4 linked regions of the Oryctolagus cuniculus genome follow. The protein of the gene in region 1 interacts with the protein of each later gene in a pairwise test. Links are inferred from orthologs where the notes say so. Each region holds a gene or a part of one and is shown in the gene's direction. Other genes may lie near its edges.

Region 1 (7,788 bases):
GCTCTGCCACTAATGGCCCTGGGCACACTCCAGCACCTTTCTGAGCCACGCTGTTTTCTTCTTATTATTATTAGGTAAACGTACCTGAAAGCAATCAGATGCACCTTGTCGGGATGGCGTGAGTTTTCCTGTGTTCCACCAGTGTCTTCCAAGCACCTACTGTGTGCTCTGCAGCATAGTGGGTCCACAAGAGGAACTGATCCTTGGAAGAGGGGTGGGGAAGGTAGGGGAGGGGATTTCTGGCTGAGGGCGCAGCCTTTGCAAAGAGAGGCTCAAGGAAGCTTGGGCTGGGAGTGGCTGGACACGAGGGGGTGTGCGCGGTCGGCAGGGGCCCAGGCACCTGGAAGCTGAAGGGTGGGGGTGTTGGCTGGTCCTGGGTTCGGTGCTGCGGAGCATGGCTGTGCCAGGACTCACCACCAGAGGGCGCTGTGGGCCAGCAAGCCGTGGCGGCCCCTGCTGGTGGCAGAGTCAAGTACACAGCTGTGCGCAGCTGTTGCAGGTGTTTTGGGTCCACCACTGCACGCGTGCCCGTGCATGACCACACGCGTGCACCCTGTTGTGTGTGTGTGTGTGTGTGTGTGTGTGTGTGTGTGTGTGTGCCGGTGGGCTTGGGTACTGCGGCCAGCACATGGGGTTGAAACTGTGCAAGCCCATGAGAATCAGCAAGTTCAGGAGTGCATTTAGCTGAGAACTGGGACCGTGTGCCTGGTCTCTTTGAGACTCCCCTAGCAGCCATCCCCTCTCGGCCCCCAGCCTTGCACGTATCAGCTCCACCCCCCATGCCTGCAACACATCCCCTGCCTCCCCTGCTCTGCTCACCGGGCACCTCTTTGAAACGGGCGCTCCGCTTTGCCTGCCTTGCTGCTCCCACAGATCCAAGTCTGTGCAATGAATGCGGAATGAGCCGCCCGCCCGCATCCAGGCCTATGCCCTCTCTCCAGGCCTCTGTCAGCCCACGTCCCGCCCACCTCAACCTCAGTTTCCCGGTGCCTGCTTGGCACTGAAGGTGAGAGGCAGCCTGCCGTCACTCACCTTCTGGCTCTGAGTGGTCGTGGCACCCCTGGGCCTGGCCGTGCCACTGAGAGGCAGGAGGGCAGTGAGAGAAGAAGGACCGGGGGCCCCCAGCTCTCGCTCTCCCCAATCCTTGGCCTCCACCATTGCTTCTCTGCCTCGCAACCTCCTAACTGGTCCTCAGAGGAGCAGTCGCCAAGTCACCTCCTCCGAGGAGCCTTCCAGGACCCCACCCAGGTGGAGTCCAGCAGCTCATGCACCTGTTTACAGCACCCCACGTGGAGTGTTGTGATTCCTGGGGCGTTTGTCAGGTCCTCTGACTAAGCCATCAACTCCCCACGTGCGTGCGAGGACCTCTTCTGAGTCACCTACTGCCCCGGAGGCCGGTCCGGGCCCAGAGTCGCTTCACCCCTGGCCATGCCACCCTTTCCTGCTTCCCTGGGCCCGCAGTGGGCCGGGGGGTGGAGTGGGAACGCTGCAGGGAGTGGGACCCAAAGCCGTCCCGCTCAGCAGGGCACGTGAGCGCAGGGCTAAAATGAGGCAGAACCAGGGGCGTGGGTGGAGGATTAGCCTGACCGGGGCTGGCCACCCAGCAGGCATCGGAGTAGCACCGAAGGGGACAAGCCCTGGGAAGCCTGGTGTTGGTGGGGGGTGGCAGGCATGAGGGGCGTGGGCAGGTCCAGGGCCAGCCCCCAGCTGTGGATACCCGCGGGGCGGGGAGGGGCGTGCCGGCGGGAGGAGAGGAAGCTGGGGCAGAGAACCTGCTGGATGGGGCTTTAGTTCTGACCGGGAGGCCGCCACCGCTGGGTGCCCACTCTGCAGATGGGTCCTGAACCCCATGCCTGGCCTCCTACAGGAAGTGGGCCCAGGTGGAGTCCTGCCTTGCCCGGGCTGGGGAGACTGCCAGGTCCTTGCACGGGGGTCGGGGGGCTTGCAGGCCTGAGTGGCTGGAGATGCGCTCCCACCCGGGACAGGGGCGCGCACGCGGCACGGAGCTGCGGTGGCCGCTCCGGGGCCACAGAGCCGGCCTGCGGCTCGCCTTTCCACCGGACCTCGCCCCTGAGTGGGTGCGGCCTGCGGGCATCACCCCCTGCGGTGCACACAGTAGGGGGTGGCACCTGCCGCCCTCACGTGTGAGATCCTGCCCGGAGGCCAGCCTGCGACCTCTTGACCTCTGCCGGCCCGAGTAACCTGAAGCCTGGGGCCAGGTGGGTCAGCGGCCTCTGAGGTCTCCACCCCACCCCGCCACGACCCCGCCACGAGGCTCGGTGCGGGAGCAGACGGAGGGCGCGGCCGTCCGGCAGCTGGAGGCCCAAGCGAGGCCAGGGGCCCCGCGCAGCGCCAGGCAGCGACCTGGGCACCGGACTGCCCCTGAGCAGAACGTACCGACAACGCCACCGTCCTCTGGCTCCTTCCCGCGAACAGCCCGGGGGCCCGGGGCGGGGCGCCGAAGGGGCTGCGGAGCTGGGAGCGTGGCCCAGCGCGGGACGCGCGCGCTCGGCGGGCACCCCCCCCCGGCATGGGCGTGGCTTGCATCTTGACAGGCAGCGGGAGGCGGAGCCTGCCGAGGCCTGAGTTTCCCGAGGAGGGGCGGGGCCGGATCTGGGCGGGGTTCGTGTTTGACGGGCAGTCCGAGGCCAGCACTGATAGGCAGGGGCCGGGCCCTGGAGACCGCCGGGCCAATCCGACCGCGGGACCGGGCTCGCCCCGCCCGCCCCCCGCGGCGTCGCCCGGCCGGGCCTCGGCGCCGCCCGCCGCAGTCGGGATCTGCTGGCCGCCTGGGTCCTCGCCGCCGCCGCCGCCGCCGCCGCCGCCGCCGCCGCCGCCGCCGCCGCCGCCGCCGCCGCCGCCTCGCGCGGGCCGCCCGTCCGCAGCTATGGCCGCGCCCGGGCCCGTGAGGGTCCGCCGCACGCTCGCTTAGCCGCCCGCCGCCGCCGCCGCCGCCGCCCGGGGCCCGCCTGCAGCATGGAGTCGCCCGCCCCCGGCCAGCCCGCCGGCGTGCCGCAGTCCAAAGGTAGGCGCGCCCTCTGCACGGTCCCGGGACCGCAGCTCCCCAGCGCGCCCCGGGGCCGCAGCCTCGCCGCCACCTCTGGGGAGTGCGCCTGCAGGCGTGGCCGGGCTGCCCCCAGCCTTCCATCCTCCTGGAATCTCTCCCGGGCTTCCCGCCACAAGCGGACCCAAGAAGGAGCCCCCAGGACCCTCCCCTCCCCCCCGTCCGGGTCCAGCTCCCGGCCCCAGGGCCGAGTCTGGGGTCTCTCTCCCACTCCGCGCCTGGGCCCCGGCTCCTCGCTCGTCCTGCCGGGGCAGGTGCGCTCGGGGCTTCGCGTCTTGTCTTCCCCCAGCCTGGAACCCCTGCACGCCGGGACCCTCGTCCGGCAGCCCCATTCCCCGGGACACCCCCCCGCCCCCCGCCACGACTGCTCCTTCTTGTCTTGACTTTGCAAGCTTCGCCCTGCACTTGGGCTGGCCTTGAGCCGCCTGGACGCCGGAGGTGGGGGGAGGTCCAGCCCCCGGGCCAGAGGTGCCTGCTCAGCACAGGGTCTCTTGCAAGCCACTGGCCTTCCGGGAAATTTCTGTGCGGTGGCCGCTGCGGCGGCAGCATTTGTCATGCAGAGGGCGGTGGATGAGACTTGGAGGGTGAAAGGGGAATTTTTTTTTTTTTTTTCAGGAAGAGGAGAGCATGTTTTTGGCGTGCCCCAGTCTCGGTAGGCTGGGTGGTGGGAGGGGTTTCCAAACCGGACATGGCTGTAATGAATGGGCTCTGTGAACCTGCTGTTGCCTCGCCCTGGGGAGCCCCATGACGGGCTCTGGGTCTGTTTCCTTATCTGTGAGATGGGGGGTGGGAGACAGTCACACCTACTTCTGTGGACAGGGACGTGTGACGTGAGAGAGGGGGTCAGCAGGTGCACAAGCCAGCAAGGCGCCTGCTCAGCTGCACACAGTAGGTGCACACAGTAGGTGTGCAGGAAGGGAGTAGCTGTTGCAAGCGTTACTGTTGCCGTTTTCAACCCCCCCCCCCCCTTGCTGGAGAGACCTCAGCCATGCGGCTGCAAGAGGGAAGTCTCCTGGGGGGGGCGCCTGGGCACTTAGTGGGTGCCTGTTCAGGGGCTGTCCCCTCTGCTCCCCTCCTTCCCTGGAGGGGTCCTGGGGAGGGTGTGGGCCCTTCCTGGGCCCTGCTGCCAGTGGCTGCGGTGGCTGTGGGCTGGAGCCGGGTGGGCAGGGTAATTACGGCTTACGTAAGCCGGAGGCCGGATCCCCGACAGCATTGCCCAACCTCTGAGTAACTCAGCAGGCACTCGCGCCGGGGAGGTGGCCGGGGAGGGCCCTGCTCCACGCACAGACCTTGTGGAGCTTGGGAACCGGGAAATCAGACACTCCTCGGCTCCAGAGGGTCGGGAAGGGGTGGGAAGCCGTGTTGATCTTGAAGCCGTGTCAGCCCTTCCAGGCAGGGCAGAATAAACCGCTGAGGTTGCAGGGCTGTGGAAGAAGGGACAAGAATGCTCCAGGTGCCGTGTGACTTGGGGCCACCCCCTGCCCTGGGTTTATTTCTGCCTTGGGGATCCAGGGAGCAAGATGATGCCTACCTAGGGGGTTGCGTGGAGGGTCAGGGGCCCTCCATAGATAAGGAAACAGAACCTTGGTGTCACAGCTGTAAGGTGTCACAGAGCGAGTTAGCTCTCCACCCAGCACCGTTTGTGTCCATGGTGGTCTCCCCAGGGGTCCCGTGTCCCATTCCTGTGCTGGGTGCTCGCCTTGGCCAGGGGGACGCCCCCACCCTCACCCGCGTCCCTCCTGGACCTGGAGGGTGGGCTGAGGCAGAAGTGTTGCCCATCCTGTGCACTGCCCCGTGCACTTGGAGTGTTGACTGCTTGCCGCAAGCCAGCCCATTTCGCAGATGCAAAACTGAGGTCTGGTGGTGGGTGGGGTGGGGAGTGGCTGGTCTGAGGCCACAGAGCAGAAGGCCTGCCTCGTATGCCCCCCCCCCATTCCTGGGCCCCAGGCCCCCAGCATGGAGCTTTTCTCGACCTGCTCAAGGGAATTCGGACAGAGCAGGGAGTGGCTGCTGGGTGACCTGAGAGCTTTTACCTCAGAACTTCCTGCCTTGCAGTGGATGTCCTGCTTGTGTTCTGGGCAGGGCCTGGGCCCTGGCCTCCCGGCCCACGTGCTGTCTCCGGCTGGGGTCAGAGGTCACGGGCAGCTGGTGCTGGGACACACGTGGTCGGCGTGGTCTGGGTCTACGGGCCGCATTTGTCCTTGGCTGTTCCCGTCTTGGGTTCGGCCGCTTGGGGAGGCTGCCAGACAGGGCACCCTGAAACTGCAGAGTATTGCCTGCTGGGGCTGCTGTCCCCCCCCGCCCCCCCGCTGCACAGCCCTGTCCCCCAATCCCGGCTGTCGGAAACACTGGAAGGTGGCACCTTGGGGAGTTCCCCCACCCCTGTCGTGACGCACAGGAAACTCTCTATCAGCCAGCATGTGGCTCTGGGCCCGAGAGGAGCAAAGTTCTCCATCAGCCCTGTGTGGTGAGAGGGCCGGGGCAGTGGAGGCTTCCGGTGAGTCAGCGGGCACCGGGCGCTGACTCACCCACCGGGCACGCCAGCCGGCTGCTTGCAGCTTAAAGGGGCATTGCCCACCGGCCTGCTGGCTGGGACGGGGCTGCTTGCCTGGGCCCCGCCAGCAGCACCCGGCCCTGAGCTGGGGTGCCGGAGGGGGCCCGTCCTGGACTGCAGGCTGGGCTGCTCACCCAAGAACTTCCTCTGTCAGGCAAAGGGGCTCCGCTTCCTCTTGCTCACGGAGCAGAAGCAGGTGGCTGTGGCTGTTTTCCGCCCTTGGCCCAGGGGACTCCTGAGGCGTAGCCGTGCAGCTGGGGGCTCGGAGAGTGAGGGCTGGAGGCCGTGCAGGGTCAGCCGGTGGCGGCCGCGGTGCAGGGACGATGGGGCGGGAGGGTGGGGTGGCGGCGGTGGTTAAGGGCTCAGGCTCAGTTCCAAGCTCTGCCCCTACTTGCACTGGGCGAGTCGCGCGCTTGGTCCCTTCCCTGCACTCTGAATGACTGACGTTCCCTGGGCCCAGCTTTCAGCGAGGACAGGCCTCAGTTTCCTGACCTGCAGAATGGGTGCAGGGGACCCTGGCTGCCCGGGTGCAGACAGCTGCATTCCACTCCTGCCTCGTGTCAGGTTCTGGTCACAGCAAGGTTGCCCTCTGCCCACAGAGGCAGGAAGTGGAGGTGGAACCTGGGCTTTGGCGCCTCCTACCCCACTGGTGCCTAGGCTGGAGGTAGGGTTGCCTCCTGGGCTTTCCTGAGCCCGCAGATCTGCCTCTGCCCTATCTCTGGCATTCCAAGGCTGAACAGGGGAACCTTGGCTAGGAGGGCAGTTGGGATGCATCCTCTTGGGCCAGCCCCATAGTATGGGGGACACTTGCATGGAGCCCGGGCCGGGTGAGCAGCCCAGGTGCAGGCCCAGCTTGGGTGCCTGGCCTAGAGGGCCAGGGTCTCAGCAGGGGTCCCTGGGGAGAAACACAGGGGGAGCAGCTGGAAGGTGCCCCCCGACGGGCACTGGTACCACCAGCCTTGAAGGCTTATGCTGAGGCGGGCATGCCCAGTGCCGGGCAGGCTTCCTGGGGATGGAGCCTGGGGGAGGTGGGCAGGGATGGGGCAGTGTGGCTGGCATTGGGCAGGACGTACCGCATCAGGGCCGGGACAGCCAAGCGAGGGCTTAGGGCATGCCCCGACCCCGCTTGTCCTCTGCCTGTCTGTGTCTTGGCTCAGCCTCCTGCCGCTGGCACTGGGCACCCTACCCTGGTTGCCAGGTTCCCAGCCTGGCTCTGCCCTGGCCCATTTAAGAGACGTGGTAATGACGAAGGCAGCGGGGCCTTGGTCGAGGGAAGGGGCTTCAACTGGTTGGCGTGCACAGACGCCTGCACCTGGCCACAGCCTGAAGCTCCCCAGGACCCCAGGCCCAAACTCCGCCATGTTTCTCGGAAGGTCTGGCAAGGACCCCACAGGATTCTGGAAGCCTGGTGCGTGGGGGCCCCTGGCCTGTGCGTGCCACACACATTACATGCACGCTCTCATTATGCCTTCGTGGTCACCCGGCATCTGGGAGGGTGTGGTTGTCACCCTGTTTTACGAGTGACTAAACAATGGCCCAGGGTCACAAAAGTCGGTCAGGAGTGTGACCTTGTCCTGACCCCTGACCCTTGCTCGCCCTTTCTTAGAGATCCCTGTTGCGGCACCCATGCATAGAACATCACAGGGAGAGACGAGACTCCGAGAGGAACTGTGGGTGCTCACGGGCTCCCTGGCACCGCTCACTGCCCGCTGGGGGCAGATACTGCTGGAGCTGCTTGCCCAGGGCTCAGGCCAGTCCTCGTGGGTACCCTGGGCAGGCCCCTGGGCATTTTCCCTCTGTGTGGGTGCTGGGTGCCCCGTCACAGGTGGGCAGGAAGGAGGACCCTCTCCTTCTTCTCTTTCTTATCCTTTTTTTTTTTTTTTTAATTTTTTTTGACAGGCAGAGTGGACAGTGAGAGAGAAAGACAGAGAGAAAGGTCTTCCTTTGCCGTTGGTTCACCCTCCAATGGCCGCCGCGGCCAGCGCGCTGGGGCCGGCGCACCGCGCTGATCTGATGGCAGGAGCCAGGAGCCAGGTGCTTCTCCTGGTCTCCCATGGGGTGCAGGGCCCAAGCACCTGGGCCATCCTCCACTGCCCTCCCTGGCCACAGCAGAGAGCTGGCCTGGAAGAGGGGCAACCGGGACAGAATCCGGCGCCCCAACCGGGACTAG
Region 2 (7,642 bases), on another chromosome or scaffold:
CCTAGCGGCCATTGGAGGGTGAACCAATGGCAAAAGGAAGACCTTTCTCTCTCTCTCTCTCTCTCACTGTCCACTCTGCCTGTCAAAAAAACAAAAAAACAAAAAAACAAACCATAGCTCCGATGTGAGCAAGTGTACTTGAAATAACAAAAATGGATTCTATTATTATTAGCACAAAGAAGGGACTTTTACTCCAGCTGTTATTTATTTATTTTTTATTTATTTATTTATTTTTTTGACAGGCAGAGTGGACAGTGAGAGAGAGAGAGACAGAGAGAAAGGTCTTCCTTTTGCCGTTGGTTCACCCTCCAATGGCCGCCGCGGCCGGTGCGCTGCGGCCGGCGCACCGCACTGGTCCGATGGCAGGAGCCAGGAGCCAGGTGCTTTTCCTGGTCTCCCATGGGGTGCAGGGCCCAAGCACCTGGGCCATCCTCCACTGCACTCCCGGGCCACAGCAGAGAGCTGGCCTGGAAGAGGGGCAACCGGGACAGAATCCGGCGCCCCGACCGGGACTAGAACCCGGTGTGCCGGCGCCGCTAGGCGGAGGATTAGCCTAGTGAGCCGCGGCGCCGGCCTACTCCAGCTGTTATTAAAAAATTTGTGACTTGGGGCTGGCACTGTGGCATAATAGGCTAAGCCTCTACTTGTGGCCCCGGCAGCTAACCTGCTGCACTACAATGTCAGCCCCAGAACTCAAACATCTTAACTGGCCTCCCATACCACTGCTGTACTCACTGAGTGTCCTTTGCTAAGTCTCTTTGTTCTATTGCCTTATTTTCAAAATGGAAATAATACTATGATCTACCTTATTATTTTATTGTGAGTATTGAATAAATATGTATAAAGGATTTTGGACAGCTTTTTTTTTTTTTTAATTTATTTGAAAGTCAGAGTTACAGAGAGGAGAGGCACAAAGAGAGAGGTCTTCCATCCGCTGGTTCACTCCCCATTTGGCTGCAACGGCCGGAGCTGTGCGGATCTGAAGCCAGGAGCCTAGGGCTTCTTCCAAATCTCCCACATGGGGGCAGGGACCCAAAGACTTAGGCCATCTTGTACTGCTTTCCCAGGCCATAGTAGAGAGCTGGATCAGAAGTGGAGCAGCTAGGTCTCTAACTAGTGTCCATATGGGATGCTGGCACTTCATGCTGGGGCGTTAACCCGCTGGGCCACAACGCCTGCCCCAGGCAGTTTCTTATTATTAGAAAAGAAACCTGTAGGAGCCGGCACTGTGGCATAGTATGATAAGCCTCCACTTGCAGTGCTGGCATCCCATATGGGCACGAGTTCGTGTCCCAGCTGCTCTACTTCCAATCCAGCTCCCTGCTTATGGCCTGGGAAAGCAGCGGAAGATGGCCCAACTGCTTGTGCCCCGCACCCATATTGGAGACCCAGAAGAAGCTCCTGGCTCCTGGTTTCGGATTGGCTCAACTCCGGCTGTTGCGGCCATCTGGGGAGTGAGCCAGTGGATGGATTACCTTTCTTTCTGTCTCTCCCTCTGTCTGTAACTCTACCTCTCAAATACATAAAATCTTTAAAAAAAAAATCTGTAAAGTCCTCTTCTTACCACTCCCCTACTAAAAACGTATCATTATGTTCCTATGACTAAATGAAGTTACAAAGTTACACTGCTTTCTTTTCTTTAAATTAATTTATTTGAAAGGCAGCGTGACTGAGAGACAGACACAGAGAGATCTTCCATCTACTGGCTCATTCCCCAAATGGTCAAACTGAGGCTGGGTCAGGTGGAAGCCAGTGTCCAGGAGCTCCATCCTGGTCTCCCACATGGGTGGCAGGGACCCAAGCACTTGGTCCATCATCTGCTGCTTCTCAGGCAAGTTGGATCACAAGCATGGAGGAGCAGAGACTCTAACCATCACTCTGACAAAGGGTGCAGGTGTCCCAAGCCACAGCTTAACCTGCCTTGCCACAACAACCACTGCACTTTAAATCAAAGTATCTTCCTTGTCCATTGCCTGCAGTTTTGGCTATTGGTATCTTTTATCAGCCTGTAAACACTGAGATCTTTTTAGATCACCACTTTAATAATAAGCATTCAAAAATTAGTTATTGGGCGAGTGGGGGCCAGTGGTTAGTCTAACCATTACAAAGATACTTAGCCTCCCATCCCACATCAGAGGGCTTGGGTTGCACTGCTGGCCGGATTCCAGCTTCCTGCCAATGCAGACCCCGGGGAGGCAGCAGAGATGGCTCAAGCAGTTGGGTTCCTGCCACCCACGTGGGAGCCCCGGTTTGTTACTGGCTTCTTCCACACCTGTCTCAGACATTGTGGGCAACAAGGCAGTGAACCAGCAGGTGCGATCTGTCTAATTAAAAAAATTACCTATTGAACTGTTTTCGGCAGGGACAAATGTCTTTTAAAGAGGGAGAAAAAACACCAACAAGGACTACAAATCACATGAGAAGTTAAAAGTATTAGAATCCCTAAGGACGATTCACAAAAGTAGTCTGCAGGGGGACCTCACGGCTGAATCCACCACTAAGAGAAGCTTTTTAGTAAAATACACACTTTGTTTTTCACTGATGTCACTTGGTCACCGACTTCTGACGCAAGGAAGGCAGGATTACGGAGACAGCTGGACTTCTTCCTCGCTCTCTCTCCAGTGGCCGGCCTAGCGCACTGACCAGCCCTGCCCCTGGTCGGCTTGGCGTTTCCATTGGCCCGTGCCCACAGAGGAGGCCGGACGAGGAATGACCCGGCCCATCGAGTGGGCGGGGCCTAGCCACCACTGGGCCGGGGACGGCGGGGGTTGCCGCAGCCGCCATCTTGGATTCCGCGGTAGCGGTGGCGGCAGTAGGGCGCCGCTGCTGGGGAGTGGCTCGTCCCTCCCCCGCCCCCCGGCGTTCGGTGGCGGCGGCTCCTCCCACTGGGGGGGTGGCGCGGCGGCGGTGGCATCTAGGGCCATGGCGGCGACTACTGCTAACCCGGGTAAGGAGACGGAGGACTGGGGCGCCTGTAAAGGGGGAGGAGCTGAAGGGGCTGACAAGTGAGGAGATCTAGGGCAGAGGGTCGGTAGCGGGGGTTTAAGGCGCTGGGGCGGGAGTGGGCGGCCGGGGAGAGGTGGGGGAGGGGAGTGACCTGGGGGAGGGGCCCGGGGACCGGGGAGCCCCGGGCTGGAGGGAGGGAGCGGGCGGGTGGGAGTTGGGGGTTCCTTGCGGGAGCCGGGTTGGAGCTCGGCGGGCCCGCCTCCGCTCCGCTGGCGGCGTTGTGGTCTGTGATGTGGTCCTCTTTTAACCCGCTGGCCCCTCAGGCTGCTGGATGTCGAATAACTGTGGGCAGAGTGGCTCGGTGCACTTTAAAAGTAGTTTAGATTCATAAACACGGGAGTTCGTTGCTGTTGGAGGTTGTTTGCAAACATTGTAGCGTTTGGTTTTAAGTTTTAAAATCGTGTGACTACTGTACGCTCAGATTCTGTAGGCTGTATCTCCGGTCCCCCCTTCTCACTCGGGGGCTATACCTTGAAACTTGATGTGTTAAAAGGGCCTCTAGTGTCTTGAGCTAATGAGGGCGAGTTTTGTAATGGTTGTGGGTCAGGAGAGATCTTTCGTCCAGAATCCCAGGTTTAAATCTCGTGAGGCCTAGGTCGAAGCAGTTACCATTCTTTCTGCGAAGTTTAGTTCCATGCCATTTCTCAGTGAACATTAAAAAGATTTAACCAGTCATGTTCAAGTGTTGGGGGTGGAGCTTGCTGTGCCGGTCTGGAGATGGCAAATCTTTGATTCTTAGTACAAGTCCTTTTCGCTGTTATAGATACTTCTCCTTAGGAAGCATTTCATTTTAGGGCGCCTAGTTTATCTTCCTGACCTTGGCCATTCCCTTGCAAAATAAAAGCTATCCTTTCCCAGAAATCCAAATCTTTGATAGCCTTAAAAAGGGCTGAAGATGTGTTTGTGTGTATCTCTGTGTGTAATTTCTTGAACATTAATTTTTTTTTCATGTCTGGAAATGTAATACTATTTTTGCAATACTCAAGTTTTGATATCATAGTTGAATCGCTGAAATTTACTGTCTTTCCATGTTTCTAGGAGCAGAGCTATTTTAAGAAATGATTTGGCACATGCCAATATCATTAGAAAACTTGTAAATTATTTTTAAAAGGAAAAGGATATGAAATTAATGACTAAAATTCCTTGGAGGAAGTCCTGAGTGATGAGCTGAAACTATAAAATTGGAAAAATGCTGTTATGGCAAAGCTGACCTTGTAGTAAGATAATCTATCTGTGAACTAGGGAGTAAATAAACAAGATTTTAAACTGATCACACATTGCAAAATACTTATATAACCCTAGTCAAGTTGTAAAGTATTTCTCTTATTAAGAAGTGGTCTGGGTAAACAAGTTTTAGGGCATATGTCAGAAGCTTTTTCCCAGCTGTGGGTGGGGTTGTTTTGTTTTGTTTTGTTTTGTTTTAAACAACAGCCAGCTGAATGAAAATCTCTTGACCATATTTTCATTAGCTGATCAATATCAGCTTACATGTCTTAAAAGAAAACATGTTTTTGGGACCGGCGCTGTGGCGCAGTAGGTTAATCCCCCGCCTGCGGCGCCAGTTCTAGTGCTGGCTGCTCCTCTTCCAATCCAGCTCTCTGCAATGGCCTGGGAAAGCAGGAGAAGATGGCCCAAGTCCTTGGGCCCCTGCACCCACATGGGAGACCTGGAAGACGCTCCTGGTTCCTGGCTTCGGATCTGCACAGCTCCGGCCATTGCGGCCATCTGGGGAGTGAGCCAGTGGATGGAAGACCTCTCTTTCTGCTCTACCTCTCTCTGTAACTCTGTCTTTCAAATAAATAAAATAAATGTTAAAAAAAAAACCACATTTTTGGTGCAGAATCTTTGTTAATCGCAGCGCCCCCGAAAATCACTTTTTTGTTTGTTTGTTTTTTAAGATTTAGTTATTTATTTGAAAGACAGAGTTAGAGATAGAGATAGAGAGAGAGGTCTTCCATCTGCTGATTCACTCCCTGTGTGGCCACACTGGTCACAGCTGAGCTGATCTGGAGCCAGGAGTTTCTTCTGGGTCTTACACGTGAGTGTTGAGGTCCAGGGACTTGGACCATTTTCTGCTGCTTTCCCAGGTGCAATAGCAGAGAGCTGGATCATAAGTGGAGCAGCCGGGACTCAAACCAGCACCCATATGGGATGCCAACGCTGCAGGTGAAGGCTTAACCTTCTATGCCACAGTGCTGGCCCCTCCATCAACTTTTTGAAATACTCTTGTAACTGTGTTGTAGGTTTTTGAGAAGCCTATTGCATTTTGGGAAACGAGATCCATGAATGGAGGGACATTGGGTGGAAATTTACTGTGCCCAGTGAAAAAGTAAATGGTTTTCAGGTCAGAATTCTTTACTGCCTCAGCACACCTTTGCTTAGAATCATTTTAGGGACTGTGGACATGATACCTATTTAAATTTTTTTCTAGTTTGTATTTTTGCTGGATTACTGGTTAAGTTTCCGTACAATTCTTGATTTATCTTTACATTATGTCTACAAAAGACTTTTAAAATAATCCACTCTTCTAAGGTTCAGTTTAGTTAATCCTTAGACTTAATAACAGTGCTTGGTCATGTTAATTGTATTTGGAATATAATTTAGAGATTGCTGGTCGTTTTTCAGTGTCTTTAGGGATCCTGTTTCTTCTGTATTTTTTTTTTTTTGGTAAGATTTATTTATTTATTTATTTACTTACTTACTTGAAAGTCAGAGTTACACAGAGAGAGAAGGAGAGGCAGAAAGAGAGAGAGGTCTTCCATCCGCTGGTTCACTCCCCAATTGCCTGCAACGGCTGGAGCTGCGCTGATCCGGAGCCAGGAGCCAGGAGCTTCTTCTGGGTCTCCCATGCGGGTACAGAGGCCCAAGGACTTGGACCATCTTCCACTGCTTTCTCAGGCCATAGCAGAGAGCTGGATCAGAAGAAGAGCAGCCAGGACTAGAACCGGTATCCATATGGGATGCTGGTGCTTCAGGCCAGGGCATTAACCTGCCACGCCACAGTGCCGGCCCCTCTTCTGTATTTTTCATTCTGGCTTGACGTGGTACTGGATCAGAGGAAGAGTAAGATCTGATATCCTGTCTCTAAGAGTTGTATTGAAGTAATACTTTCTAATGTGATGATGACTTTTTTCTGCATGAATTGATCATTCGTCATGTTCTATCAATTTTAACTAGTTCTGCTTACCAATGGCAAGTAGAAGTGGGTGGATAGGTGGCTCAGGAAATCTTGGGCTATATTTTTCTTACCTATGGATTACTAAAGCTTGAGAAACACTTTTTAAATAGGATGTGCAGTTTGTAATGCATTGGCTAAAAGACTACTTGGGAAGAGAGTAGGTTTGCTTTAGTTTACAAGTCAGTGTGCAAACCAAAGTTGTGAATAAGTCTGTAGTGAGTATAGATTTTTCCTTCGAGTTTCTCATTAGTCCAGAACTCTTTTTGTGCTATTATGTACATTTTTTTTTTTTTTTTTTGTGGATGGAGAATGAAATAGAAGGTAAAGTAGGGAGCACTGGGTTTGTAAGGCTGACAGGAAATTTTTTTTATATATAATTTTGATCTATATAAATTATGGTTTTAAAATCGTGAATTAGGGGCTATTTTGTGGCACAGTGGGTTAAGCTGCCGCCTGTGATGCTGACATCCCATATGGGTGCCAGTTCCAATCCCGGCTGCTTCACTTCCAATCCAGCTCCCTGCTAATGTGCGTTTGAAAGCAGCAGAGAGTGGCCCTAGTGTTTGGACCCCTGCACCCATGTGGGAGCTTCAGAGGAAGCTCCTGGTTCTTCGGCCTGGCATAGCTCCAGCTGTTGTGGCCTTTTGGGGAGTGAACTAGCGGGCAGAAGATCTCTCTCTCTCTCATCCTCTCTCTCTAACTCTGCCTTTCAAATAAAATTAATCTTTTAAAATCATCAATTAACAAAATTCATGTTACCTTTAATTGCCTTTGTGAGATATAGAAAAGTAGAAATTTAAGCATTATAAAATTAAGATGTCAGGACTATGGTGTACTGCAAAGACCTCTTCAAAAATTATTAGATAGGGTACAGTGTTGTGGGGCAGTGGGTTAAGCTGCTGCTTCTGATCCAAGTTCTTGCTATTGCGCCCAGATGTGCAGTGGACGATGGCTCAAGTGCTTGGGTCCCCACTGCCATATGGGACATCAGGATGGAGTTCCTGGCTCCTGGCTTTGATCTGGCCAGACTTGACTGTTAAGGCCATTTGGGGAGTGGACCAGCAGGTGGAAGATCATCTCACCTAGCCCCTCTCCTTCTGATGCTGTGCCTTTCAAATAAAGAAATAAATTTTAGAAAGAAGTATTAAATGTATTTTATTCAGCAGTTGAAATACAATTAACATGTTGAAAGGAACCTCTTTGCATACTTCTTTTGCAGTAGATCTGTGGCACCAACCTGAATCTTCTGTTTTCTTCAACATTAAGAAGTAGATATTTCTGCATTCTTGAAACTGGGAGATGGATCAAACCAGCCGGCAACCATATGGGATGCTGGCCCTGCAGGGGTGGCTTACCCTGCTATGCCATGATGCCAGTCCCTGGATGCCTTCCTCTACCCCCCAAGGCTTTAACAATAGGGATTACCACAGTGCTAGGTGGTGATTAATCTCCAAAAGC
Region 3 (7,020 bases), on another chromosome or scaffold:
ATATATATTTTTTTTTTTTGACACAAAGAGTGGACAGTGGGAGAGAGAGAGACAGAGAGAAAGGTCTTCCTTTGCCTTTGGTTCACCCTCCAATGGCCGCCGCGGCTGGTGTGCTGTAGCTGGCGCACCGCGCTGATCCGAAGCCAGGAGCCAGGTGTTTCTCCTGGTCTCCCATGGGGTGCAGGGCCCAAGCACTTGGGCCATCCTCCACTGCCTTCCCGGGCCACAGCAGAGAGCTGGCCTGGAAGAGGAGCAACCGGGACAGAATCCGGCGCCCCGACCAGGACTAGAACCCGGTGTGCTGGCGCCGCAAGGCTTAGGATTAGCCTAGTGAGCCGCGGCGCAGGCCCATATATCTATTTTTAAGAGTAATTTATTTGAAAGGCAGAGTTAGCGAGAGGGAGAGGAGGGGAGAGAGAGAGAGATCTTCATCTGCTGGTTCACTCCCCACATGGCAGCAGTGGCCATGGCTGGACTGAGCTGAAGCCGGGAGCCAGAGGTTCGGGCACATGTCCCACGTGGGTGCAGGGGCCTAACCACTTGGGCCATCTTTCCCAGATGCATTGGCAAGGAGCCGGATGGGAAGTGGAGCAGCAGGGACTCAAACTGGCATCCATGTGGGATGCCGGAGTCACAGGCTGTAGCTTAACCCCCTGGGCCCCTGGCATCCCTGTTGGTGGGCCCCCTCTCTGGGGATGGCTGGCCCATGCCCTTCCGTTGTGTGACGCTCGCAGCCAGGAGCTGGTTTGCAACGGGCAGTGACCTCGCCTGCGTTCTGAGGGTCCAGTCGGTGTCTGTTGGCTCCAGCGCGTGCTCACCTGGGTCCGCGCGTGCTTGCAGAGCTATGAGAAGATCCACCTGGACTTCCTGAGGAGCGACCACCCCGCCGTGGCACGCATGCGTGTGGACACCGACAGCGCGTACCTGGGCGTCACCTACAAGAACGAGGAGGACAAGCTGAAGGACTGGGAGGGCGGCCTGGACGAGCAGAGGCTGAGCGCCGACAGCGGCTACATCATCCCCCTGCCCGACATCGACCCCGTGCCCGAGGAGGACGAGGAGGACGGGGGCAAGCGCAACCGGCACAGGTAGGCAGCCCCCAGCGCTGCCGGCGCCCCTCGCGCCGCCCACCGCCCCCAGCACTGCCAGACCCCGGGGGCTGTGCGGGGGGAGGGGGGTCTGCAGGAGCCGTCAGCCTGCCGAACGCCGGGGGGCTGCATGGCTTTGAAGATGCGCCCCAGGGGACTCCGAGGCGTCTGCTGGGGCTGGGGCTGGGGTTGGGGGCGTGTGTGTGTGCATGCGTGTGCATGTGTGAGTGCATTCTTGAGAGTGTGTGTGCATCCATGTGATGAGTGAGTGCATGCGTGTACATTTGTGTGTGAGTGCGTTCATGAGAGTATATGTGTGTGCATGAGTGTGCATTCATGAGCGTGTGCTTGAGTGTGTGAGTGCATCCATGAGAGTACATGCATGCGTGTGCATGCGTGTGCATGTGCGCATTCTATGAGAGTGCACACGTGTGTGCATGTGGAGTGCATTCATGAGAGTGCACATGTGTGTGCATGTGGAGTGCACTCATGAGAGTGTGCATGCGTGCGCATGTGTGTATGCGTGTGCACACGAGTGCATTCTTGAGTGTGTATGCATGTGTGTGCGTGTGTGTGAGTGCATCCATGAGAGTGTGAATACATTCATAGGAGTGTGTGTGTGCACCTGCATGTGTGTGTGTGGGGGGTACTTCCCCAGTGGGTCCAGACCTTTGACCTGAGCCCTCGGGGACCTGGTCAGTAGCTGCTGTGCTGAGCGCAGCCTGTGCCGCTGTCTGAAATGGGCCTGGAGCTGAGGGGACGGATGGAGGAGACGGATGGAGGGAGGTGGCTCTGGGGCCTCTGACGCACCCCCGTGCTTGCCACGCCTCCGAATCACCTGGCAAGGCTTTCTGTTTATCTCCTTAAAAAAATTATGGGGGCTGGCGCTGTGGTGTAGCGGGTAAAGCTGCCACCTGCAGTGCTGGCATCCCATACGGGCGCCGGTTCGAATCCCAGCTGCTCCGCTTCCCATCCAGCTCTGCTGTGGCCTGGGAAAGCGGTAGAAGATGGCCAAGTCCTTGGGCCCCTGTGCCCACATGGGAGACCCAGAAGAAGCTCCTGGCTCCTGGCTTCAATGTGGCCCAGCCCTCTCCCTCTCCCTCTCCAATTCTGCCTTTCAAATAAATAACAAATAAAATAGAAATAAATAAAAATAAACAAAGCATTCTTGAATTCTTAGTCCTCCTTTGAAAGGCAGAAGGGCACAGACGCAGAGAAAGAGAGAGAGGAAATATGCTCCGGTCCACTCATTCACTCCCCAGATGTCCCAGTGGCCGGAGCCGGGCCAGGCCGAAGCCAAGAACCAGGAGTTCTACCTGGGCCTCCCCTGTGGGTGGCAGGGACCCAATCATTGAGCCTCCCAGGGCGCACAGTCGCAGGAAGCTGGAACTGAAACCCAGGCGTCCATACGGGACATGGCCATCGCAGGCGGCGTCTCAGGCGCGCACCGAACCTGCACCCGAAACTCGCCTGGAGTTCCGTTTCCAGCCAGCTTCCCGCCTGGATGCGTTAGTTCATTATCAAGACACGCAACGGCATGAGAACCTTGGTTCCCGGCGCCCAAGCCCCAGGCGCTGATCGTGGCCTGTTTAATTAAGGTCCACGTGGCCCGGGGTCCTTTTCTTTCCTTCCTGCCTGCTCGTTCCGTGAGCTGCATGCAGGAGCACGTGGCGTGGTCGGGGCCCTCGGCACAGCTGCCGGCAGCCCTTGTTGATCTGCGTGCACCCGGTGATTTTGCAAAGTACAGCTTTGGCTTCTTCTATTTTGGGAATCCTCGACTGGGGGATGCTGTTTTACTGTGTGTTTATGTTCCTTTAGTAAACAAACCTGGGGGTCTGTGTTGGAACGGGGGCGCCAGGGGGAGGCTGGGTGGAGGCCTGGGGGCTCTCTCCCCTTGGAGGCTTTGTGTTTGGGGGCTCTGAGGCAGTGTGCCCCAGATAACAGCCCCAAGTCAGGTGGGACTGTAGCCCTGAACCGCAAGACGAGCTGGCCCTGGGTGAGGGCATCCCAGAGCCGGGGGGAGCTTTGGGCTCAGCTGGGCAGTCAGCCCCGAAGTCACCTCCTTCTAGGCTCAGGACATTGACCTTGGGGAGGGAGTGGGCTCAGGGGCACTGGCCACTGGGTGTGGGCAGCTGGGCGAGCCGCGGGAATGGGCTGGTACTGGGTCTCGGGGTGGTCAGTCCTCCCTGCCCACACCCCTGTGTCCTCCAGAGGAAGAGCAGGGTCAGGGCCTGGCTCGGCAGTGCCCATCCCAGCGCCCACGGCTGGGCTGGGTCCACATCCACATCAGGTCCCGGGCGAGGGGCCGCCCTTGGACGGTTGTCGGGATCAGCAAGTGGATGGGATTCGGAGGCTCAGGACAGGTGTAAGTGCAGGCAGAGCTGAGGCCTAAGGAACCCGCAGCCCGGCAGCCTCCTGGGGCCCAGGAGGAGTCAGGGCCGCAGGAGTCGTGGGTGGTGGCCGCCGTGTTCCCCAGCAGGACGTGAGCTGTGGGACTCAGTTCTCTGCTTGGCAGGGGATGGGGAAGGGAGGGGACCCTGTGTCCTCACTGCTGCTGGTCCCACGTTGGACAGGGACCTCCTCGCCGGCAGGTGATAATCTGGAGGGGCAAAAAAGACCTAACGTGGACAGCAGCGCAAGGCAGGATGGCGCTAAGACAAGAGGTCTCGGGTCACAGGTCACAGGTCACAGGTCGCAGGCTGGGTCTTCAGGGAAGAAGCCAAAAAAATAGTGCATGAGCCTCCCTCCCACTTAGATTGCACAGTTGTTGGCAGGTGTTCAGCTCTGTGTGGCATAGGTTATTGCGTGTCAGTCACATAGAGGGGACTCCAGAAATGGCGCTGGAGATAAGCTGTTTTTGGTGCCGAAGTGTTGGAACCCACGCGTGGTGTGTTCATGAGGCACGCCCCCTGCGTGCGTCCTCACGTTTTGCTAGTGGTTGAGTCACTTGGAACTAAGTAAGGGACACCAGGACATGGCTCCCACGCACGTGCCCGTGAATAACACCCCTGCCCGCGCCCGCCGTGCCAGCCCCCTGTGCTGCGCGTGTGGGCCCAGCTCAGCCGTGGGTGAGAAGACAGGAGGGGCAGCACCCACTGCCGCGTGCCCTGCCCATGCTCGGCACTCACGGCTGGTATCTTGCTCATCAGCCGAGCAGGCGTGCTGTGAGCGTCCTTGGCATGCCCTTCGTGTAGGCAAGGAGGTACGTTCAAGTTCATCAGGCGGAGGGTGCCACCCGGGGGAGTCCACTGCAAGGCCCCCCCTCCCCCTCTCCAGGAGGCAGAGAGCCTTCCCCTGGGAGGTCCGGACTGGGAGCCCTGGGGTCACAGGGGCAGGGGGCCTCCCGGCACACAGGCGTCCCTGTCCCCAAGAGCAGGTGGCTGGCCCGGCTGCACCGCCCCCAGTGCCTCCCTCTGCTTGTCATTCCCGCTGCCTTGTGTTTGTGCATTGCTGGTTTCTCTTCTGCTGGGATTGAGTAGGGAAGATGGGCTCGGTGGCCGCCGGTTGGCAGTGCTGAAGGAAGGCGGCCGTGTGTGTGAGGTGGGCTGCACGTCCCGCCCCCTGCTGTCCACATGGCCCCACGTGGCGGGAGGGGCGGTGCTGGGCGCCCCCTGCAGTGCGGCTGCGATGTGCCCGGTGCTCAGCCTCGTGCCCTCTGTCTCTAACCTCCAGCTCGCAGACCTCGGAGGAGAGTGCCATCGAGACGGGTTCCAGCAGCTCCACCTTCATGAAGAGAGAGGACGAGACCATCGAGGACATGGACATGATGGACGACATTGGCATGGACTCCTCGGACCTGGTGGAGGACAGCTTCCTGTGAGCCGCAGGTCCCCGCGCGTTCCCGGAGCTGCCCTGGGATCCTTTTCAGAAAACCACTTTATTTGCAAGGCAGAGGTGGAGAGGACGACGTGGGGGATGCGGGACGAGGAGGCCCTGGCCCGGGATTCTCCGGGGCGGGGCAGGGGGAGCCGTGTGACCAGCCTCGGAGGGGGAATGGGACGCTTGGAGGTGGACGCTGCTGGCACTGCCTCTGGATTCGCCAGCCTCGGCGGCGTGGGGGGTTCAAGGGCACGGTGGACCCCGGGAAGTGAGCTCTGGGTCTCAAGTCCACGTGCACAACCGGAGTCGCACTGAAGTTGCAGTGTCGCTGTTATGTACATAAATCTGAACGCAGCCCTGGTGAGAGATGCGTCCGTCTCCTCTGGACTTCTGAGACACCACTCAGCCCAGCCGTGTCTTTCCCTGTCGGAGCCTGGCTGCCACTGGCTCTGGACTCCCAGTGTTGTACAAAACCACTTCGGAACCTTCAAAGGTGCTGGTCTTGGAGCATCTTAGTCGTGCGTAGCGCAGAGTCATTAACCAGCCTCGTTTAATAGACGTGTGTCGTTTAGAAGCCCCAAGCCGCGTTTTCGTATCGTAACCTATGTTTGTAATCATACTACTGTCATTAGTGATGCTAAGTGTGTAACACGTAACACGGGCTCCTGCCCGAGAAAGCACAAGTTAAAAAACAAAAAAAAGAACCCTAAGTAGGTGACAGGTTTGCAACTTTTGACACTTTCTTTTTTTAAAGAGCTTATGTTTCCCCATAAATGATGTTGATCACCGCAGTGGGTCGGACATCAGAGAACAAGGTCACAGTTGTCCCGGAAGTCATGGACTTTGGTTGTGTACAAGTCGCTCCCCCTGCCCGCGGTACTGAACGGGACGAGAGACGAGCCCAGGTCCCCGGTGTCAGAGTCCCCCGGGCCGGCATCACCCTGAGGGAAAGAGCAGCAGAGATCCTGTCTGGCCTCAAAGAGAAAGTGCTAGAAACCCGAGGCTGGGAGTGGGGGTGGTGGTGAGTGACGGCCGTGTGTGTGTGCCCCGGCTCTCTGGCCCCCAGGGAGCTGGCAGCCCGGATCTGGAGTTGGGAGTGGATGGGCAGCCGGCACCCGTGTTCTGTTCTGATGAGCCAAGTTTCAGGAGTGCTGGCTTGGGTTCCTGGGGGTTGCCGTGGGAAAAGCAATGATTTGCAATTTGGAGCTGGGCTGGAGGGCCACCATGCGGAAGCCTGCTGTGTAAGTCCCCGGCGCCTGGCTGTGCGTCCAGATTGCTACCCTCAACTTAATCCAGCCGGCTCAGCTGAGGGTCAGGGTCAGGGTCAGGACACTGGGCGTGGGCAGGTCTTCTTCAAGGTAAGGCCACTGCTTCTCCCTGCCTGGAGGGGACGGACCGGCTCCTGCCCGCCCGCACCCCCAGCCCGTGGACAAACACCTATAGAAGTGATGCCACTCACACTGCTGCCTCTCTGCACAACGAGGCCAGCATTTTGCTCCAAGAGGTGAACCATTTCACTGCTATACCGGGGTTAGACGGGACGATGCACCGTGACTCACGCCGGCCAGGGTGGGTTCATGGCGTTCTCGGCCGTGTTGCTTAATTGCTGACACCCAGGGCGCGACACGTGCCAGGTGCGGGAGCCACCCCGAGGTGCTTTCTCAGCCACCCTCTGCGTGGCCAGTGTGTGCTCTGAGCTGGATCGGCCAGCTAACAAGCTGACCGGGTTCTGTAGCACCAGCGAAGCCTCTGTGTGGCTGGAACCGCAGCTCGGGGGTCCTCGCTCCGTCACCTGCCCCTTAACAGTCACTGTTGTGGCCACTCTGGTCATCGAAGCCCCAGGCTTGCACGTCACCACAAGACTGGGTGCAAATCCGTGGCCAGGCTGAGCCTGGGGCCGCATTGTTAGTTTTTGCTTTTTTTAAAAAAGTGTCCCGTGTATCTCCAATCTGTGTCCCGTTTGCTTCCTGCAAAATCCCCAGAGAAAGACAATTGGCCACTGCTTCCCACTCTTTGATTTTTTTTTTTCCTGATGACAATCAAAGCCGGCGTGGGCGACGCAGCGTGCGGCCGTGCCCGCGCCGTGGTCTGCCCGCGTGCACAGAGCGGTCCT
Region 4 (7,624 bases), on another chromosome or scaffold:
CTACCTTGTGCATTTTCCCAGAATCCCTGAAGTGAGACGCAGGAGTGCACCCATTTTTCTGGAAGGAGAAACTGAGGCAGAGACAGGCTAAAGGCAGGATCTTAGGATGGTAGGGTCTTGCCTTTGCTAAGCAAGAGTGTGTGTGTGTGTGTGTGTGTGAGAGAGAGAGAGAGAGAGAGAGAGAGAGAGAGAGAGAAATCTTTGAGAGAGAGGCTGCAAGCCTGGCTGGTGAGAGTGTTAGCAAGAAAGTGAGAGTGTGAGGGAGAGGAGGCCGGGCCGCCTCTCACTGCCCCCACGCCAGGGCCAGCAGCTCCGGGAAGGGTGGCCAATTCACTGCTCTCTCCCTGGGATTCAGAGCAGCGGGGGGCCCGCGAGCTTTCAGCAAATTCTTGTGGCTGAGCGTGGGGGCAGCGCATCAGACTGTACACAGGACCAGTGTGGGAGGCTGTGAGTGTGGGGAGGGGGCAGAGCAGAGGGGGGCGGGGGGCACATTCTGGGGGCGTGGGCTGGGGCCTGGGAGCTGAGGGGTAGGCATCCAGGGAGACAAGGCGGCTGCTCACATACCGTGAGCTAGCAGGGCTCGGATAAAGCTGGGAAAGGCCCTGGTCTGTGAGCGCCAGCCGCGGGGCAGGGTCGGACGGCTGCTGGTGCTTACTCTGTCCCCCACAAACCTCTTTACTAAGGGACCAAAGATGGAGAGCCGGGCCTCTCTGGGAACCTGGGGTCTGGTGAGGCCCCTCCCTGGAGGGCAGCGCCCCAAGGCAGGAGTCTCATCTTTCCCGGGGCACTGCAGCCAGGCCGGGGGCTGGGGATGGATTCTGACAAACTGTTTTTAAAGGAGAACCAGTTCTTTTCCGGTTTATCTTTGGGGAAGAGGGTGTTCCTTTGTCTGAAAAGGAAAAACAAAAAATTGCATTAATGGGCCTTTTAGTTATGCAAAGAGATGCCCCTTCCTCCCCCACCCGCCTTCGGAGTGAGGCCGGGAAGAGCTGGACTCTCGCATGACAATACGGACGGAAGCTGCTAAGCGGGCAGCGCCTCTGCGCTTCTCCCAGAGCCTGCGGGGGAGGAGAGGGCCTCGTCTCAGGTGAGGGGTCACAGGTCAGAGGGTCAGAGGGTGCCTGGCCTTCTAGTTTGGCCGCAGCATGGGTCTCTGCAGGTGAGGCCGACCAGAGCACACCGAGAGTGGAGCTATCTGGGAGGCACCTGCGTGTACCCTGCACTTAACACGGCGGCCAGGTCCGTGGGCACAGCTCCTGCCTCCCCAGAGGGAACACTTCACAATCATTTACATTCCTGATGGTTCAGCTACAATACTGGCAAATATGAAGAAATCCCAGATCAAAAAGTGATCATAATGGTGCAGCAGGTAAAGCTGCCATCTGCGGTGCTGGCATCCCATATGGGCACCAGTTCGAGTCCCGGCTGCTCCACTTCCAATCCAGCTCTCTGCTATGGCCTGGGAAAGCAGTGGAAGATGGCCCAAGTCCTTGGGCCCCTGCACCCACGTGGGAGACCCGGAAGAAGCTCCTGGCTCCTGGCTTCAGATCGGTGCAGCTCTGGCCATTGCGGCCATCTGGGGAGTAAACCAGCGGGTGGGAGACCTCTCTCTCTCTGTAATGCTGTCTTTCAAATAAATAAAATAATTCTTTAAAAAAATAAGAAGTAATCACAGCTAGCATTGCAAAGCAAATGCTGGATGATGGCTTTGCACACACCCACAGGTCTGCTTCTTGCAACAACCTCTTGAGGTTGATGCTATCAGCTACCACTTTCCTGCCAACAGGATGAAGACAGGGATGGAGGGACCCGCCAAGGCTGTGTGCGACAGTGCTGAGAGGTGAGGGCACACAGCCCAGTGCTGCAAGCTGTGCTCTGAATCACTCAGGAAAAGGCAGCTCTGCAGCACCCGGTGAGCTCAGTGCTCCCAGAAGAAGCAAGAGGAGCAGGACCTGAGAAGGAGACAGACTTCACCAGACCAAGACGGGACAGCGCGTTCCAGGAAGAGGGAAATCACATGCAAAGGCCCAGGGGCAGGGTGGGAGCAAGATAAAAGGGCATGAAGGTTCAATCTGGAGATGTGGGCAGGGGCCAGGTTATGCTAAAAACCTATATATAATTTTGTGAGAAGCTACTGGAAAATTAAAGGGGAAGATAAAACAGTCAGATTTGTATTTAAAATATAACTCAGGTGGGACTGACGTTATGGCATAGCAGGTAAAGCAGTCACCTGAGATGTCAGCATCCCATATGGGCGCTGGTTTGAATCTTGGCTGCTCCACTTCCCAGCCAGCTCCCTGATCATAGCAGTGGAAGATGGCCCAAGTGTTTGGACCCCTGCACCCACATGGGAGACCTGGAAGAAGCTCCTGGCTCCTGAGTTTGGTCTGGCCCAGCCTGGCCATTGTGACCATTTGGGGAGTGAACCAGGGGATGGAAGACCTTTCTCTCTCTCTCCCTGTAATTCTGTCTCTTCAATAAATAAATAAATAAATATACTTTTAAAAACCATAAACTACATTGCCACATTGCCAAAAAGAGAGATTTCTTTTCTTTTCCCCCTCCCCTCCCCTCTCCTCCTCCTCCCTCTTCTCCTCTCCTCCCTTCCAGATCTCTCAGGCTGGGGCAGCCCATAGCAGAGAGCTGGATCGGAAGTGGGGCAGCTGAGACTCAAACCGGCACCCACATGGGCTGCTTGCACCGCAGGCAGCAGTATTACCTGCTATGCCACAGCGCTGGCCCCCTAAATAAATCTTTTAAAAAATCACTCTGGACTTGGAGTTGAGGCTCCATGGCTTAAGCCACCGCTTACATCCACCAGCATCCCAAATCAGAGCACTGGTTCAAGTCCAGCTGCTCTGTTTCCAATCCAGCTCCCTGCAAATGCTCCTGGGAAGGCAGGTGGAAGATGGCCCAGCCTCTGCCACCCTCGTGGGAGATGCCGATGGACTTCCAGGCTCCTGGCTTCCTGGCTCTGCCATTTGGGGAGTGAACCAGCAGATGGACGACCTCTGATTCTCCTTCTCTCGTCACTCTGCCTTTCAAATAAATAAATAAATATTTTCTAGAAAGAACTGTCACTGTGCAGGTTGCCAAATGAGCGGACGTGGGGCAGTCAGTCCACTGCACAGAGATGGCGGAGCAAGGCTAGGGTCAATGTTTCCTTCCCCGAGGGGTGACGAGCAGGAGACACGGCTGGGCAGTGGACGAGAACTTGGAAGCCCCGCCAGGGGTCTGGGTGGGCCGGAGGAGGTGGCTTGTAGTAGCCAGGCTGGCCCTGGCCGGCTGGCGGTGATGCTGGGTCGCCGCTTTGGGACCTAGGTGGGCGTGGCTGCGGAGCCCTGCCACGCCCCTGAGAGGTACTACCGGCCGGGGGCGGGGCCGGGGCGGGGCTGGGCAGCTGCCCGCGGCCACGCCGCTGTAGCGAGTTTATTCCTGGCTCTCCCGCCGCGGGCGGAGCAGCGCCGGGGCTATCTGCAGGCCCCGCCGGGCGCGGGGATCGGGTGAGCAGGGAGCGAGGCGCGGGGGAACCAGGTGAGCAGGACCCTGGTGCGGGCAGCGGAGCCACGCAGGTTCGAGGTGAGCCAGGACCCGTGCGGGCCCGGACTTCACCCCCTGCCGCCAGGGGGCGAGCGACGGCGGGGTCCAGGGGTTGCCCCCTCCCGGCACGGGGGCGTCCTCTCGGCGCGGGGGTGGAAGGGCGGTAAATCAGTAACCCACAGCGCACACAGGGCCTTTTGTCCCGCTCCGTCCAAAGAGCACCGTGGCCACGGAGCTGGTTACTCATTGCCCACCCGGGCGGGGGCGGGTGCAGCTCCCGGGGGAGGGGGACCCTTCGGCTCGCACCTCCCCCCGAAGGTGGCCGGGCGGGTGGGGAGAGCGCTCTTGTCCTTGGGCGGCAGAGCAGGGGAGGCCGACGCCCGGAGAGGTGCAGCGCTGGCCCAGGGCCCTCCGGCGCGGGAGTGCGGAGGCTGGATAACCCGGGACCGTCTGATGCTGGAGTCGGGAGCTCTGGTCCCACGCGCCGGGCGGGTGGCCAGCCGCCGCGGTGACCCGGCCAAGGTTTGAGGTTGGGAGGTCAGGGCAGCCTGGGGTCCCAGGCGTCCCCACCCCACTGCCCGCGGAGCTGTGCCCCGAGGCAGAGGGGGCGCTTTGCGGAGCCCTGGGGTGGGCTGGGCTCAGTCACAGAAAGAGCTGAGCGGGATGGAGAAGAGGGATGAAGGGCACGGAGGCGCCGGGTTTTGAAAGGCGGTGGGTTCCGTGCTCGTGAAGGGAGATTGGCCAGGGCAGAGAGGGGGCCTGGGAGACACACGAGCCGCGGGGACTGCTTCCTGCAGGGTGCAGGGAGCCTTTAACCGACGGAGGGGGCACTTGACAGACGTGTGTTTCCCAAAGCCCTTGCAGAGGCTGAGAACAGAGGAGGTTTGCAAAGGCCCAAGCAGACACCACCGTGGCCTGCCCCGGGGAGGGACAGGAAATACAGAGAGGGCTGGGAGGGGGGGACCCGGCTGCAGAGAGATGTGGTGGGCTTCCAGGAAGGCGCATCTGCAGACACCACTGACACCTGGCTGGCACCCAGCCCCAGGGAATAGCCAGTGGCTGCCTGGGACCACAGCCTGTCCCCTTGCTTGGTTCTGAGTGTTCCTTTGGGGGGACAGAGACGTGCTCAGTAGCACTGGGAAGAAAGTGACCAAATGAGATGGGTGTGCACCTCGTACCTGACAGGACCAGAGCTGACCGGCTGAGGGCAGACCAGGGTGACAGGTGACAAGAGGGGCGGGGAGGACATGCCAGTATGCCACGTGCCTAGTCCCCACATATATCACCGCTTTTATCTCAAAACAGCCTGGAGCGGGACAGCCCAGGACTTGCAAGCTGGTGGGAGCCGAGACTTGAACTTGGTGCTGACACTTTAGAGTCTACAGAAACTCCTGTGTGGGGTTGCGGGGCTTCCGAATGAGGCCCTCTCCCTGCTCCACGTGGGGAGTGCTGCCTTGTTGGTGCAAGCACCCAGTTGCTAGGCATGGGTGCCAGGAATACCCTAGGGGTAGGGGTCAGCCCCAACAACATGCAGCTGCTGACGTTTGGCCTGCTATCACATTTCACTTTTTTTTTTTTTTTGGCTCTTCAGCAATAAATTTCTTTATTCAGCAAAAAGTAAATTATGTGTGCTGAGAGCGAACAGCAGATATTTCTCCATTCTCTGCCTCGCTCCAAGGAAAGAATCCCCAAACTGCTCTTTCTGTGAACTTGTGCCAGGGTCTCAGCAGGACCCAGGCAGAGCAGGAAGCCGAGCCCAGCTCCCCCTGCACCAGCAACCAGGGGGAGGCCCTGGGCTCCGGCAGCGGCAGCAGCAACAGAGCTGGTTCCAGTCTCTGCCTTGCCACAGCCGGGCTAGGGGCTTGGACCAACCTGCCTCAGTTTCTTCATCTGCAAAATAGGGCAATAGCGCTGGCCCAGACGCACGTGTGGCAGCTGCTCTTTTTGCCCCCTGTTCCAGGAGTTCCAGCCTGAGTCCTGGGAGCTGCAGGAAGATGTGGGTGCTACTGGCCCTGCTGGGGGTCCTGCTGGGGGCACCTGGGGCTCCAGCCTTGTCCCTTGAGGCTTCTGAGGAAGTGGAGCTGGGTATGGCCCCAAAGGTGGGAGAGGGTCGCAGGGGTGGGAAGCGTGAACCTGGGAGGGGGCTGCTGGCTGAGCAGAGCCGGAGAGGGTCCCAGCCCAAGCCCTGAGAAGGCGGTGGCAGGGCAGGCCTCAGCCTCTGAGACTCTGTGTCTGGCTCCCAGCAAGCGGCCACTATCTATCACTGCGCTCCAGAGGACGGGCCTTGCAGGGCGCTGGGCCCTCAGCTGGGCTGCAGAGCCGGGGGTGAGCGCTTGGCTGCGTGGGTGTGTGTGTGTGTGTGTGTGTGTGTTCTGTGCATCAGTGTGTAGCTTGGCGGCCCAGGCAGCACGTGTGGCACGTATAGCATGTGCCTTTGAGTGTCTGTGTATGTGTGTGTACGTGTGTCCCGAGTGTAGCATGTCCAGCATGCGTGCCAAGTACTTGTGTGCGTGTGGCCCACCTCGGCGCTGTGGCGTGGGCCCACAGCTGCGTGCGGAGGAGTGGCATGTCCAGCACGTGTCCTTGGGTGCCCGGGCCCCACGTGGGCAGCATGTTCTTCATACGCAAGGGGGCCGCCTCCCATCGGAGTGGCGGGGCTCACTGCGTTCTGTGCTCGGCCCACAGAACCCTGCCCAGCCCCCAGCCTGGAACAGCCCGAGCAGGAACTGACCGTGGCCCTTGGGCAGCCCGTGCGGCTGTGCTGCAGGCGGGCTGAGCGGGGCGGCCACTGGTACAAGGAGGGCAGTCGCTTAGCACCTGCCGGCCGGGTGCGGGGCTGGAGGGGCCGCCTGGAGATTGCCAGCTTCCTGCCCGAGGATGCCGGCCGCTACCTCTGCCTGGCTCGAGGCTCCATGACGGTCCTGCACAATCTCACCTTGGCTGTGGATGGTAAGAGGGGCTGGCGGGGGCGGCTGAGGTCCCCGGGGAGAGAGACTCCCTCTCTTGGTCCTCAGATGCTTGCTCTGTCCCTGACACAGACTCCTCGGTCTCCAGTGACGATCCTGAGGACCCCAAGGCCCACAGGGGCTCCCCGAACAGGCACAGTTACCCTCAGCAAGGTCGGTGTGAGGCTTCCAGGACTCGTGTCCACATCGCCCCATCTGGTCACTGAAACGAGGGGTGGGGGGCACTCAGTACGCCCACCTCCTCCCCCCCCAGCTCCATACTGGACACACCCCCAGCGCATGGAGAAGAAACTGCATGCAGTGCCTGCCGGGAACACCATCAAGTTCCGCTGCCCAGCCGCAGGCAACCCCATGCCCACCATCCGCTGGCTCAAGGACGGACAGGCCTTCCATGGGGAGAACCGCATTGGAGGGATTCGGGTGAGGCTGTGGAGTCCCAGACCATCTGCTCCCAGACTTCATTTCCCCCCGGGCCCCTGGCACCTGTGAATCTAATGTGGAAGGCAACTGGGAAGCACCAGGCTTCAGACTGGGGCGATCCGGCTACCCCACCAAGTGCCTTCCCCGCTCAGCAACCCCAACTGTGCGGCTGGAAGAACCCCGGGCCAGCAAGCCTCAGGACGCTTTGGCATCTCCTCTCTCTCTTTAAGATTGATTTATTTGAAAGGCAGAGTTACAGAGAGGTAGAGAGAGAGAGAGGTCTTCCATCCACTGGTTCACTCCCCAAATGGTCGCAATGGCCAGGGCTGCGCCTGTCCAAAGCCAGGAGCCAGGAGCTTCTTCCAGGTCTCCTGTGCGGCCTGCACAGAGGAAGCTACAGCTCAGAGAGGGCAATCACTCCATGCTCAGGTGGCCCAGCGAGGGAGAGGCAGACTCAAAAGTCTCCCACCGCAGGCTCTCAGGTCCCCCAGGCCTTCTCCTGTGTCCCAAGATCTACACCCTTGGCCTGACCTCAGAGTCTAAGCTTGTGGACAAGACGCAGCCTCCTCGTGCCCTGTCCCCTCTGGGAGATGGGGGTTCCATGGCGGCCCCTTCCTCTGCCCCAGCTGCGCCACCAACACTGGAGCCTGGTGATGGAAAGCGTGGTGCCCTCGGACCGGGGCACGTACACCTGCCTG

Evidence for each region.
Region 2: the proteins of MAP2K3 (region 1) and ARNT come close enough for resonance energy transfer, tested with the Homo sapiens proteins (2 studies listed by BioGRID). The link is inferred for Oryctolagus cuniculus from reciprocal best matches to the Homo sapiens genes MAP2K3 and ARNT.
Region 3: the proteins of MAP2K3 (region 1) and PDGFRA come close enough for resonance energy transfer, tested with the Homo sapiens proteins (2 studies listed by BioGRID). The link is inferred for Oryctolagus cuniculus from reciprocal best matches to the Homo sapiens genes MAP2K3 and PDGFRA.
Region 4: the proteins of MAP2K3 (region 1) and FGFR4 come close enough for resonance energy transfer, tested with the Homo sapiens proteins (2 studies listed by BioGRID). The link is inferred for Oryctolagus cuniculus from reciprocal best matches to the Homo sapiens genes MAP2K3 and FGFR4.

Annotation. Positions count from the first base shown.
Region 1 is NC_091448.1:65,865,450-65,873,237, reverse strand, and holds the start of MAP2K3 (dual specificity mitogen-activated protein kinase kinase 3), read left to right. Parts: upstream 1-2,738; 5' UTR 2,739-2,976; coding exon 2,977-3,025; intron 3,026-3,679; exon of another isoform or gene 3,680-3,691; coding exon of another isoform or gene 3,692-3,716; exon of another isoform or gene 3,717-4,488; intron 4,489-5,097; exon of another isoform or gene 5,098-5,370; intron 5,371-5,621; exon of another isoform or gene 5,622-5,814; intron 5,815-7,788. UniProt on the Homo sapiens protein: Dual specificity kinase. Is activated by cytokines and environmental stress in vivo. Catalyzes the concomitant phosphorylation of a threonine and a tyrosine residue in the MAP kinase p38.
Region 2 is NC_091438.1:47,194,917-47,202,558, forward strand, and holds the start of ARNT (aryl hydrocarbon receptor nuclear translocator), read left to right. Parts: upstream 1-2,754; 5' UTR 2,755-2,922; coding exon 2,923-2,947; intron 2,948-3,006; exon of another isoform or gene 3,007-3,027; intron 3,028-7,642. UniProt on the Homo sapiens protein: Required for activity of the AHR. Upon ligand binding, AHR translocates into the nucleus, where it heterodimerizes with ARNT and induces transcription by binding to xenobiotic response elements (XRE).
Region 3 is NC_091439.1:109,895,983-109,903,002, reverse strand, and holds part of PDGFRA (platelet-derived growth factor receptor alpha), read left to right. Parts: intron 1-840; coding exon 841-1,088; intron 1,089-4,760; coding exon 4,761-4,908; 3' UTR 4,909-7,020. UniProt on the Homo sapiens protein: Tyrosine-protein kinase that acts as a cell-surface receptor for PDGFA, PDGFB and PDGFC and plays an essential role in the regulation of embryonic development, cell proliferation, survival and chemotaxis.
Region 4 is NC_091437.1:63,109,432-63,117,055, forward strand, and holds the start of FGFR4 (fibroblast growth factor receptor 4), read left to right. Parts: upstream 1-3,398; 5' UTR 3,399-3,534; exon of another isoform or gene 3,535-3,579; intron 3,580-3,900; exon of another isoform or gene 3,901-4,069; intron 4,070-5,500; 5' UTR 5,501-5,534; coding exon 5,535-5,625; exon of another isoform or gene 5,626-5,639; intron 5,640-6,225; coding exon 6,226-6,489; intron 6,490-6,578; coding exon 6,579-6,659; intron 6,660-6,759; coding exon 6,760-6,926; intron 6,927-7,552; coding exon 7,553-7,624. UniProt on the Homo sapiens protein: Tyrosine-protein kinase that acts as a cell-surface receptor for fibroblast growth factors and plays a role in the regulation of cell proliferation, differentiation and migration, and in regulation of lipid metabolism, bile acid biosynthesis, glucose uptake, vitamin D metabolism and phosphate homeostasis.